Linked DNA regions of Ovis aries. The protein of the gene in region 3 interacts with the protein of the main gene of each other region in a biochemical or structural test. Links are inferred from orthologs where the notes say so. Each region holds a gene or a part of one and is shown on either strand. Other genes may lie near its edges. The genes, in order: torsin-1A-interacting protein 2, TOR1AIP1 and TOR1A.

Evidence for each region.
Region 1: the proteins of TOR1A (region 3) and torsin-1A-interacting protein 2 form a complex in vitro, tested with the Homo sapiens proteins (4 studies listed by BioGRID and IntAct, with this or other methods). The link is inferred for Ovis aries from reciprocal best matches to the Homo sapiens genes TOR1A and TOR1AIP2.
Region 2: the proteins of TOR1A (region 3) and TOR1AIP1 form a complex in vitro, tested with the Homo sapiens proteins (2 studies listed by BioGRID and IntAct). The link is inferred for Ovis aries from reciprocal best matches to the Homo sapiens genes TOR1A and TOR1AIP1.

The regions. Positions count from the first base shown.
Region 1 is NC_056065.1:60,446,922-60,450,571, reverse strand, and holds part of torsin-1A-interacting protein 2, read left to right. Parts: coding exon 1-379; intron 380-3,650. UniProt on the Homo sapiens protein: Required for endoplasmic reticulum integrity. Regulates the distribution of TOR1A between the endoplasmic reticulum and the nuclear envelope as well as induces TOR1A, TOR1B and TOR3A ATPase activity.
Region 2 is NC_056065.1:60,508,171-60,511,820, forward strand, and holds part of TOR1AIP1 (torsin-1A-interacting protein 1), read left to right. Parts: intron 1-1,460; coding exon 1,461-1,502; intron 1,503-2,435; coding exon 2,436-2,519; intron 2,520-3,650. UniProt on the Homo sapiens protein: Required for nuclear membrane integrity. Induces TOR1A and TOR1B ATPase activity and is required for their location on the nuclear membrane. Binds to A- and B-type lamins. Possible role in membrane attachment and assembly of the nuclear lamina.
Region 3 is NC_056056.1:6,701,477-6,705,635, forward strand, and holds the start of TOR1A (torsin-1A), read left to right. Parts: upstream 1-1,246; 5' UTR 1,247-1,295; coding exon 1,296-1,476; intron 1,477-2,121; coding exon 2,122-2,387; intron 2,388-4,159. UniProt on the Homo sapiens protein: Protein with chaperone functions important for the control of protein folding, processing, stability and localization as well as for the reduction of misfolded protein aggregates.

The DNA.
Region 1 (3,650 bases), on a different chromosome or scaffold from region 3:
ACAATTGGCCCAGGAAGTACAGATACAGATGCTCAATCAGAAAATCCAGACGAAACAGATTATGGGAAATATGCAAAGGTTACAGAAGGTGAGAAGAGCCAGAGTTTTCAGGGTGGAGAACAAGGCCATCAGCTCCCTTCAGAGAGTCTGAGTGAAGACCCTGTGGATCCAGAACCCAAGTGTTCTCCAAGTGACAAGGTAGGAAGAACAGACGTACACATAGTGGGCAGCTCTGCAGCCTTCCCTGAGCACGTCAGTGATGGAGCCGGAGCATCTCAGGAGCCACCAGTCGTTGACCCTCAGGATGCCCAGAGCCCTGGCCATTCCAGTGCAGGGCTGGAGAGCCAGCACACACTGAGGAAGCGACTGCTGGCACCAGGTGAGAGAAGCCCTGAGCCTGTCCTGTTGTGTACTGTTCTGTCCTGGGAACACAGCGTAGGTGAGGCCCTCCTTTTCAGAGAGCTTCTCTTTACTTCATAGGATTAAGGCCTTTGCATCTTGCCCAAGGTCACAAAGAGATATGACTATATTGAGATTAAATGAGGTTTCTCATCTCCTAAGACTTCGCTGGTGGCTCAGAAGGTAAAGGTTCTGCCTGCAATGTGAGAGACCCAGGTTCGATCCCTGGGTTGGGAAGATCCCCTGGAGAAGGGAATGGCAACCCACTCCAGTATTCTTGCCTGGAGAATCTCATGGACAGAGGAGCCTAGCAGGCTATAGTCCATGGGGTTGCAGAGTCAGACACGACTGAGCAACTAATGCTCTCGCTTTCAAGCTAGCTCATTCTGCTCACTACATAAGATGCTTCCCACTTATACATAAGCTGCATTTTTTAACAGTTTCCATTTATTTACTGTATCTATGATTTTTTAAATTTTTTACAGGTATGACTTAAAAAATTTACCTCTGGCCTTTTATTTCTTATAAGCATATTTTTGCTTTCACTTTTTAAAATCTTTTACTTTAGGGGAAACTAAATGCTACATGAATCAAGAGATAGGTATATTTAAAAACCAGCATGTGGTACAGTACCCTTGAAGTGAAGTGTTAGTCACTACAGTCTCTGTCTGATTCTTTGTGACCCCATGGACTGTAACCCACCAGGCTTCTCTGTCCATGGGATTCTCCAGGCAAGAATACTGGAGTGGGTAGCCATTCCCTCTAGGAGTTCTTCCCGACCCAGGGATTGAACCTGGGTCTCCTGCATTGCAGGAAAATTCTTTACCATCTGAGCCAGTACCCTTAACTCAGGCATATTTCAGTTTTATAGGACTTTGAGCAAATTAGTTATTTCTCTATACCTGATTGTCTCCACTTGTATATTAAGGAGAACAGCATGCTGTCTTTCCTCACGAAGAATAGTTGCAGTGTGCTAAGTCTTTAACTGGAACTCAAGAGATACGGATTCTAGTTGCAGCCCTACCACTTCCTAACTTGGGTGACTTTAAGCAAATCTCCCAACTTGCTGGTACTTCAGTTTCCTATTTGTAGAAATGAAGAAGTTGAACTAGATGATATCCAGCTGGTTTCTTCCAGCTTTTACCTTCTGTGATATTATGGAGTTGGATTGTATGGATTTGTGTTTTATAAGTACTCTGAAAGCTCAGCCTGAAATGCCTATTTGCCAGAGCAAAGGAATATAAAATATAAGACATTGTTTTTGTTGGACTTGACTGAGGGTTAGAATTCCATGTTTCAGTGTAAGTCAATGACTGATCTCAAATATGCATTTTATTAGTTTATTATTAACTTGAGTGAAGACAAGGGCTATGTCTCACTCATTGTGTTTCTGTGGCTCTTGGCACAGAGAAGTGACTTTATGAATATTTGTTAAATGAGCAAATGATAGGATTTGTATATGGACCAATATGTGCCATCAGAGTTTCAGTGGTATGCAGGTTCACTGAGTAGGGGAAGAAAACATTGGTTTAAAAATGCAGTTTAATGTGTGAGAAGCAGCTTAATATAATGATAAATGACAGATGGTATGGACCTACTGAAGCAGAAGATACTAAGAAGAGGTGGCAAGAATACACAGAAAAACTGTACAAAAAAGATTGTCACGACTCAGATAATCACGATGGTGTGATCACTCACCTAGAACCAGACATCCTGGAATGTGAAGTCAAGTGGGCTTTAGAAACCATCACTACAAACAAAGCTAGTAGAGGTGATGGAATTCCAGCTGAGCTATTTCAAATCCTGAAAGATGATGCTGTGAAAGTGCTGCACTCAATATGCCAGCAAATTTGGAATACTCAGCAGTGGCCACAGGACTGGAAAAGGTCAGTTTTCATTCCAATTCCAAAGAAAGGCAATGCCAAGGAATGCTCAAATTAGTGCACAATTGCACTCATATCACATGCTAGTAAAGTAATGCTCAAAATTCTCCAAGCCAGGCTTCAGCAATACGTGAACTGCAAAATTCCTGAAGTTCAAGCTGGTTTTAGAAAAGGCAGAGGAGCCAGAGATAAAATTGCCAACATCCACTGGATCATTGAAAAAGCAAGAGAGTTCCAGAAAAACATCTATTTCTGCTTTATTGACTATGCCAAAGCCTTTGACTATGTGGATCACAATAAACTGTAGAAAATTCTGAAAGAGATAGGAATACAGACCACCTGACCTGCCTCTTGAGAAATCTGGATGCAGGTCAGGAAGCAACAGTTAGAACTGGACATGGAACAACAGACTGGTTCCAAATAGGAAAAGGAGTACGTCAAGGCTGTATACTGTCACCCTGCTTATTTAACTTCTGTGCAGAGTACATCATGAGAAACGCTGGACTGGAAGAAACACAAGCTGAAATCAAGATTGCTGGGAGAGATACCAATAACCTCAGATATGCAGATGACACCACCCGTATGGCAGAAAGTGAAGAGGAACTAAAGAGCCTCTTGTTGAAAGTGAAAGAGGAGAGTGAAAAAGTTGGCTTAAGGCTCAACATTCAGAAAACGAAGATCATGGCATCTGGTCCCATCACTTCATGGCAAATAGATGGGGAAACAGTGGAAACAGTGTCAGACTTTATTTTTGGGGGCTCCAAAATCACTGCAGATGGTGACTGCAGCCATGAAATTAAAAGACGCTTACTCCTTGGAAGAAAAGTTATGACCAATCTAGATAGTATATTCAAAAGCAGAGAAATTACTTTGCTGAATAAGGTCCGTCTAGTCAAGGCTATGGTTTTTCCAGTGGTCATGTATGGATGTGAGAGTTGGACTGTGAAGAAAGCTGAGTGCCAAAGAATTGATGCTTTTGAACTGTGGTGTTGGAGAAGACTCTTGAGAGTCCCTTGGACTGCAAGGAGATCCAACCAGTCCATTCTGAAGGAGATCAGCCCTGGGATTTCTTTGGAAGGACTGATGCTAAAGCTGAAACTCCAGTACTTTGGCCACCTCATGCGAAGAGTTGAATCATTGGAAAAGACTCTGATGCTGGGAGGGATTGTGGGCAGGAGGAGAAGGGGCCGACAGAGGATGAGATGGCTGGATGGCATCACTGACTCGATGTACGTGAGTCTGAGTGAACTCTGGGAGTTGGTGATGGACAGGGAGGCGTGGCGTGCTGCAATTCATGGGGTTGCAAAGAGTCGGACATGACTGAGCGACCGAACTGAACTGACTGAGGAGATAAGAAACCTCTTTCTA
Region 2 (3,650 bases), on a different chromosome or scaffold from region 3:
GGATAGCCTAACACTTCTCCAGGAGACCTTCTTGACCCAGGAGTCAAATCTGAGTCTCCTGCATTGCAGACAGATTCTTTACCAGCTGAGAAACCAGGGAAACCCAAAGAAAGAATTGCATAGTAGTATTAGCAGTTTTCTCAGAGTCAATTTTTTTAGAGCAAAAATGTTGTCAAATGCTGATTTGCACTTGCCACTATTAAGTAAAAGTAGCTTGGCTAGTATTGATGTTATACCAATCTAATTAAACTGATTTTTAAAAATTATTTCCACATTCATAGAATGATGGGTTGCTAGTTGCCTTCTACAATACAATTCTTTTTTTCTTTTGAAAAGCAAATAGGAGTTACAATCAACAGAGGAAGATCTGAAAGGAAACAAATTTTCATTCTGGTTCATTCTGTTCTCATATGATCATTCAGCAACATTTTAGCCCAATTGTGCAATTCTTACATTTGGGTATATCTTTCTTTATTTAAAAAAAAAACAATCAGGAAATTCCCTGTGGTCCAGTGGTTGGGACTCTGCTCTTCCACTGCCACAGCCCCAGCTTCAGTCCCTGATTGGGGAACTAAGATACCACAAGCCAAATGACACAGCCAAAAACCCCCCAAAATCAGAATAGCCCATGTGAAAATACAGCATTTCTTTGACACATTTTACTCATTTATCTTTGTCCAAATTCTCTGACTCTGAGAACAGTGGTGTATGTGGACCTGCTGGAACTAGGAGCGTTTCTTTACCTTTCTTACAATCTCTTCAGACTCACCAGTGCATTAAAACACTGCTTTTTCAGCTCTGCTTGTGTGGTTGGCTTTTTCAAAGGAGTATCGGAAATCTAGCAGATATGAGAAAGAGAATACAGTAAACCTATTTACCAACTTGCTACTGCTGCTAAGTCACTTCAGTCGTGTCTGACTCTGTGCGACCCCATAGATGGCAGCCCACCAGGCTCCCCCATCCCTGGGATTCTCCAGACAAGAACACTGGAGTAGGTTGCCATTTCCTCCTCCAGTGCATTAAAGTGACAAGTGAAAGTGAAGTCGCTCAGTCTTGTCCGACCCTCAGCGACCCGATGGACTGCAGCCTCCCAGGCTCCTCCGTCCATGGGATTTTCCAGGCAAGAGTACTGGAGTGGGGTGCCATTGCCCTCTCCGATTTACCAACCTAGGGGACTCTATTTATCAACATAGAGCTTCACACTTTCTACAAACACAAGTTACATTTTATAATACAAATAGACCTCTCAGTGAAGAAACACAGTTTCTGATTCTAGTTTGTAGCACACTTATTCCTGAAATAGTGTAAAGGGAAATAATCCTTTCTTTTTTATGATTTAATGGGAAAAAAAAGTTTAATTGTTGTGATGTAATATTCACTTTCCTAAATTAAATATTCTTATTGATTCCTGAACTTTGGCTTATGATGTTATATACAACATGTATGCTTTTCTTTTCTAGAAGCTGCCAGTGTCCATCAGAAGGTCAATTACTTGGAAGAAGGTATTTTCACTTAAAATACCATGCAGTATTTTCTAAATCTTTTTGTTGTTGTTATTAAGATTAGAAGCACTTTTGGTAAGTATTTAAGAGAGAGGACAGAAAAGAAGGCCTTTTTCTTCAGGAAAAAAAATATTCATGCCTAAAATCTGAACTGTTAAATGGACAGGTAAAATAGAACAGAATGTGTGAAGATGGCTTTTATGTATATATTAAACATCTTTTGTGTGTTGAAATTAATTTAAGCAAAGCTAATATTTCCATTTCTGTCATGTGCTAGCCTTTGATTATGGTATTAAAATAACTAGTTTTCCAAATCTTATCTTTGAATAGTACAGTAAAATTTAGTGTGTTTTTTTAAATTAATTTATTTTTTAATTGAAGTATAATTGCTTTACAGAATTTTGTTGTTTTCTGTCAAACCTCAACATGAATCAGCCATAGGTTAGTCTGTTTTTAAGCTCACCATAATCTGAGATTAGTGCCCTGCATACTGAAATGTTTGTGGATGGGTGTATGTATACACACGCCCTGTTGGCAAACATACACACGTATATGCAAACACATTAGTGCATATACTAATGTTGTATGAATTTGTACTCTAATTGTATTTTTCCTCACCATAAGGTAAAACTTTCCTTCTGTTTAATGTTCGTTTGTTTACTTTTTTACTCTAAAGCCTTAGAATACAATCTTACTGAGTATTCATTTGGGATATAATTATGTACTTCAGAGAACATGAAATGAATGAGCTCAATTTTAGCTTATTTAGAACTTTGTGACTCAGGATAGTAAGCGTAATAAATAGCAATTTGATATCTGATTATTTAAAAGGCTTCATTTTAATGTCAGATTGTTTTTATTATTACTTTTTTAATCCAGATCTTTAAAGATGTAGAATAAAGACTATAATAATGTGTTTTTATTTTGTTTTAGGGGAAACTGAAGAAAATGATCAAGACAGCTCTGACAGTGATGTTACTGTTAAGGTCAGATCCGGGGATTCTGTTGAGTCTGAAGGTAACATTGCTTTATGCTTTATGACTCTTTTCTTAGGAGCTGTAGCTCTAGGTAGAGTATAAAGTATTCTGTGAATTTGCTTTTTTAAAAAATATTTTAAAGTATTAAAACTACTTTTTAAAAAGTGTACTTTTAAACATTTATTAAAATTACTGATTCCATATACATATCACGTATCTGATTAGTAACATACTACCTAACAAACAAATCACTTCTACCTTGCCTTGTTATTTGTGGAACATATCTTTTTGCACCAAAAAAAGTTATTTGTGGTTTTTAAAAAACTTTGATAGAGAAACTGATCACACTGGCATAAACTCACTGTACTGTCAGGAGTGTTAGCTAGCTTTTAGGAAGTTTTAGTGAACTTAGATTACTACTTTTATCTCTGAATTGTTCAAATTCACACCAAGTTAGCAGTAACAGTTTCTGATTATTCATAAAAATTGATGTTTAGTTTATTCAAGGAAAAAATCAGCTGAAGGAAAAAGAAGTACCAGCTTGAGGCTTAGTGAGAGTGCCGATCAAATTTGTAAACAGTGTAACTAATGAGTAGTTTTATTTATATGCTAGTCCCATTAACAATAAAATCTCTACTTTTCCCCACCTTTTGAGAATTTCTATAATTTATTTATGTTTTACTTAATCATTCTATTTTCAAAATGAGCTCAGAAGCCAGTTTATGGGCATTTGATATTCTTTATATTTCCCATCCTTTGTCATGTTCCCCCATCCTTTCTTGACTCATAAATCCCAACAGAGATGTGCAAAACTCTAACATAGTGGTTAAGATCATGACTCTTGAGTTTCACTGCGTTTCACTCTTCCAGTACTATTGATAGGTTTTGTGCCCTCAGGCAATTGCTTAACTTTTCTGTTCCTCAGTTTCCTCACTGGTTTGTTGTGAGGTTAAATTACTCAGAGAGTGCCTGGCAAATAGTAAACGCTCAAATTATGTGCTGTTGTTAGTTGTTGTTAGTTTTCCTATATGCATACACCTGTGCTCTAAAACGGAGAGACTGATTAAGCCATTCATATAGCCGCTTGCTCGATACCATTGCCACCAGTGCTAGTCTTTGAAACCACATAAACCACAGGCTCTGTAATCCCTTTTGAACTCTAATAAATTCT
Region 3 (4,159 bases):
TGCTCTCAGCTTCTTTATTAAATCCTTGGACACATCCATTTGCCTTGCAGCCTGTTTTCTCATCTGTAAGAGATTTCCTTTTCTTCCCCTTCACTCAGATGCAAGGTCAGTGAAGGCAGGATTCACCTGCACCTCATTTTTTTTTTTCTTTAATCTCCAGGATCTAGTCCATAGGAGATCCTCAAAATTATGAATGAATGAATGAGAGGAAGTAACTGTTACCTGGGAGAGACCTGACCAACACTACCTTATCCAGGTGAGGAAGGTCAACATCAGCAGTCATAAATCATGTTGATTATAGTACCTATGATACGATGGTATAAAAAGAGTATCTCTGTAAAGTATATTCCTCCCCCAAACCCACAACTCCAATCTAATCATAAGAAGACCATTAAATTCCAATAGTTGAGGATCCTACAAAAGATCAGGGCTTTCCTAGGTGGCTCAATGGTAAAGAATCCCCCTTCCAAAACAGGAGGCACGAGTTGGATCCCTGGCTGGGGGGAATCCCCTGGAGATGGAAATGGCAACCCACTCCAGTATTCTTGCCTGGGAAATCCCATGGACGGAGGAGCCTGGCTTGGGGTCGCAAAAAAAAAAAAGCAACTGAACGGCTAAACAACAAGGAAATAAAAAACTTTAATTACAATATCTCAACATGGGCTCATTAATTTTAACAAATGTAAACACGACTGAAGCTACTTAGCAGCAGCAGCAACATAACTAACGACAGCAACAACAAAACCTACTAATGTAAGATGTAAATAATCGAGGAAACTGCGTGCGAGGGTGTGGTAATATGGAACCTCTCTGTACTCTCCTCTCAACTTTTCTATAAACGTAAGTAAGCAAAGTCGCTCAGTCGTGTCCGACTCTTTGCGACCCCATGGACAGTAGCCTACCAGGCTCCTCTGTCCGTGGGATTCTCCAGGCGAGAGTACTGGAGTGCGTTGCCATTTCCTGCTCCAGGGGATCTTCCAGACCTAGGGATCGAACCCGGGTCTCCCGCATTGCAGGCAGACCGTCTGAGCCACCAGGGAAGCCCATGCAAAACTGTTCCCCAAAAGCAAGTTTTACTAAAAAGAAGGGAAAAAGAAAAAATGGCTCCTCCAACTACCCCAGCGCCTAAAGCAGGAAAGGGCTTTGCCCTTCACAAAGATGGCGGCCGCCGGCGTCGGAGGCGATCCGCCCCTTTGAAGAATGGCGGCGCCGGCGGGAGGAACCGGAAGCGCGGTCTGGTGGCGGCGCCGGTCGGCGGTAGGCGCGAGAACGGGCGGGGCGGCGCGGGTCCCGGCATGAAGCTGGGGCGGGCCGCGCTGGGCCTGCTGCTGCTGGCGCCGTTGGCGGTGCGGGCGGTGGAGCCCATCAGCCTGGGATTGGCCCTGGCCGGCGTCCTCACCGGCTACATCTCCTACCCGCGCCTCTACTGCCTGTTCGCCGAGTGCTGCAGCCCGAAGCGGAGCCTCAGCCGGGAAGGTAGGATGGGCCGGGGTCTGGTGCCTGAGCTGGGAAGGGGGTCAGAGTTGGGGGCCAGCCAGGAGGCCGGGAAGCCCGGGCAGTGCCCAGCCGGGGGTTGGTGGGGCAGGGGGGTCGGGCCAGACCCGGAACCGGCGTGCGGCACGGGGCCTGGCTCCTGGGCCACGATCGCAGGCCGACCGGACTTTGGTCTGAGACCTGCGGATGCCAGCTGCACCTTCGCCCAGAAAGCGGGCTGGTGGACGATCGGAAACTTCCTCCAGAGAGTTTCTTGCTCGCTCCTTGCCAGAGACGGGAAGGCTGGTGGGGGCTCTCTCGACGCAGAGCGGCGGAGCCGAATTACTCTGCCCTTTTTTTCCTGCCGGCCTTCGGGTGGGGAGGGACAGGGCCGGGGTGAGGGGCTCGCGCTGTTGGCGGAGGTTCTGGAGCCAGGGTCTCATCCGAAAGTGTGGCAGGACTTGCAGAGGGAGGGCCTCCTGGACTCACGGGCCACCTGGGCCTAGTGCCTACCTATGTCTGCGTCCCAGTAAACGCTTGGAAGAGCTTAGCGGGCTTTGCTGGCTTTGCGTGAGCCTGTAAACTGGGCTACGTTTTGCCAGGTGTGCCCCCTACCCTCCGCCTGACTGGCTTTGTTTTTTTTTTCAGCGCTGCAGAAGGATCTCGACAGCAAGCTCTTTGGACAGCATCTTGCAAAGAAAGTCATCTTAAATGCTGTGTCTGGCTTCATCAGCAACCCGAAGCCCAAGAAACCTCTCACCCTCTCCCTGCACGGGTGGACAGGCACTGGCAAAAATTTTGTCAGCAAAATCATCGCGGAGAATATCTACGAGGGTGGGCTGAACAGTGACTATGTCCACCTGTTTGTGGCCACGCTGCACTTCCCACACATCTCGAACATCACTCTGTATAAGGCAAGGGCCGAATTTTGGAGTCCTTCAGGGATGATGCTTGCTTTGGGGTTTCTTTGTTGGGGGATGGATTTGGATGTTCTATGTTGAAAGGAGTGAGCCCTGAAAACAGCCACACGTGGCCGTTTCCCTTTAAAAAGTGTGGAAATTACAGAGGATTGGAGATGGCAGAAGCAATGACACCATCAAAGCTGGTTTCTGAAAACAGGCTGCGGGTGGTACTCAGTAAGTGGTGTAGTAGGATCTTAGAGATGGACGTAATCAAATCCTGGTTAAAGCTCTTCAAATCTAACATGTTTTATAAAAGGGAAAACATTTCTAGGGAGGCCTAAGTTTGCTTTTATACTTGAACTCACTGATTTAACAGCCTGGCTTCCAGGGCAGACACACCTGAATTTGAGCCCCAGGCTCCCACCTATCAGCTGTGTAATGTTGGGAGAGTCACCTGACTTCTCTTGAGACTCAGGTTCTTCATCTGTCAAATGGCAGCTGTGAGAATTTCTTTTTAAAAAAATTTTGACCATGCCAGGTAGCATGTTGGGTCTTCGTTCCCTGACCAGGGTTTGAACCCGTGCCACCCCCTGCAGTGGAAGCTGGGAGTCTTAACCACTGTGTCACCAGGGAAGTCAGAATTTCTTGAGGCCTTAAGCCTGTCATGTAACATGATGCTCAGCGCATGAGCGTTCAAATCATTGGTAACTATTGCCCTTTTTTTTTTTTGTCTCACCTGTGTGAACACATTTTTCCCTTCAGCTTGGATGAGCATCAGGGTCACTGCCCAGGAGTTCCTGGGATGTGAGGCTTTCGCTGCTACAACTGGGAAAGTTCCAGGCAAATAGGGACGAGTTGCTCTTCCTAGTTAGCATTCCATCTTCGCTGTTTAATAGCTGTGTGACTGAGCAAGTTACGTAACCTCCCTGCACCTCAGTTTCCTGGTCTGTGAAATAGGAAATGCAGTAGTTAACTGCTTTGATGGGTTTTGGAAGATCACAATAAAACGGGTGAACCGTGCTTAGAACAGGGTCTTGCCTGTAGTGAGTGCTCCATGTACACTCTCTGTTGTCTGTGAGAGGGAGGAACAGAATGGAAGGCCTTGGCTGCTAGAGCCCGCCAGACCTGAGGGAATTCTCGTTTAAACAGTGACTCACTCTGTGGCCTTGTTCAAGTCACTCCAGCTCTCCTGAGGTTCTTCTGTAAATAGAGGTTAGCTCATATCTACAGAGCAGAGTTGGGCTTCCCAAGTGGTGCTAGTGGTAAAGAACCCACCTGCCAACGCAGGAGATCTAAGAGACACGGGCTCGATCCCTGGGTTGGGAAGATCCCCTGGAGGAGGGCATGGCAACCTGCTCCAGTATTCTTGCCTGGAGAATCCCATGAACAGGGGAGTTGTTCAGTTACAGTTCATGGGTCGCAAGAGTCAGACACGACTGAAGTGACTTTTCACGAACAGAGCAAAGTTACTGCTTTGGTTAATAGGCACCCATGGAACACTGTACGCATGGTCTGAGTAGCCAAGCGAAACTCCAGATCATAAGAAGTCAAGACCTATATCATAGCTTCCAGAATTTTCCTCAGAAACTAATAGCTAACTCTTTCTTTTTACCTTGTGTGTGTGCTTAGTTGCCTCAGTTGTGTCTGACTCTTTGCAACCTCATGGACTGTAGTCTGCTAGGCTCCTCTGTCCATGGAATTCTTTACGCAAGAATATTGGAGTGGATTGCCCTGTCCTCCTTCAGGGGATCTTCCTGACCCAGAGATCAAACCCAGGTCTCCTG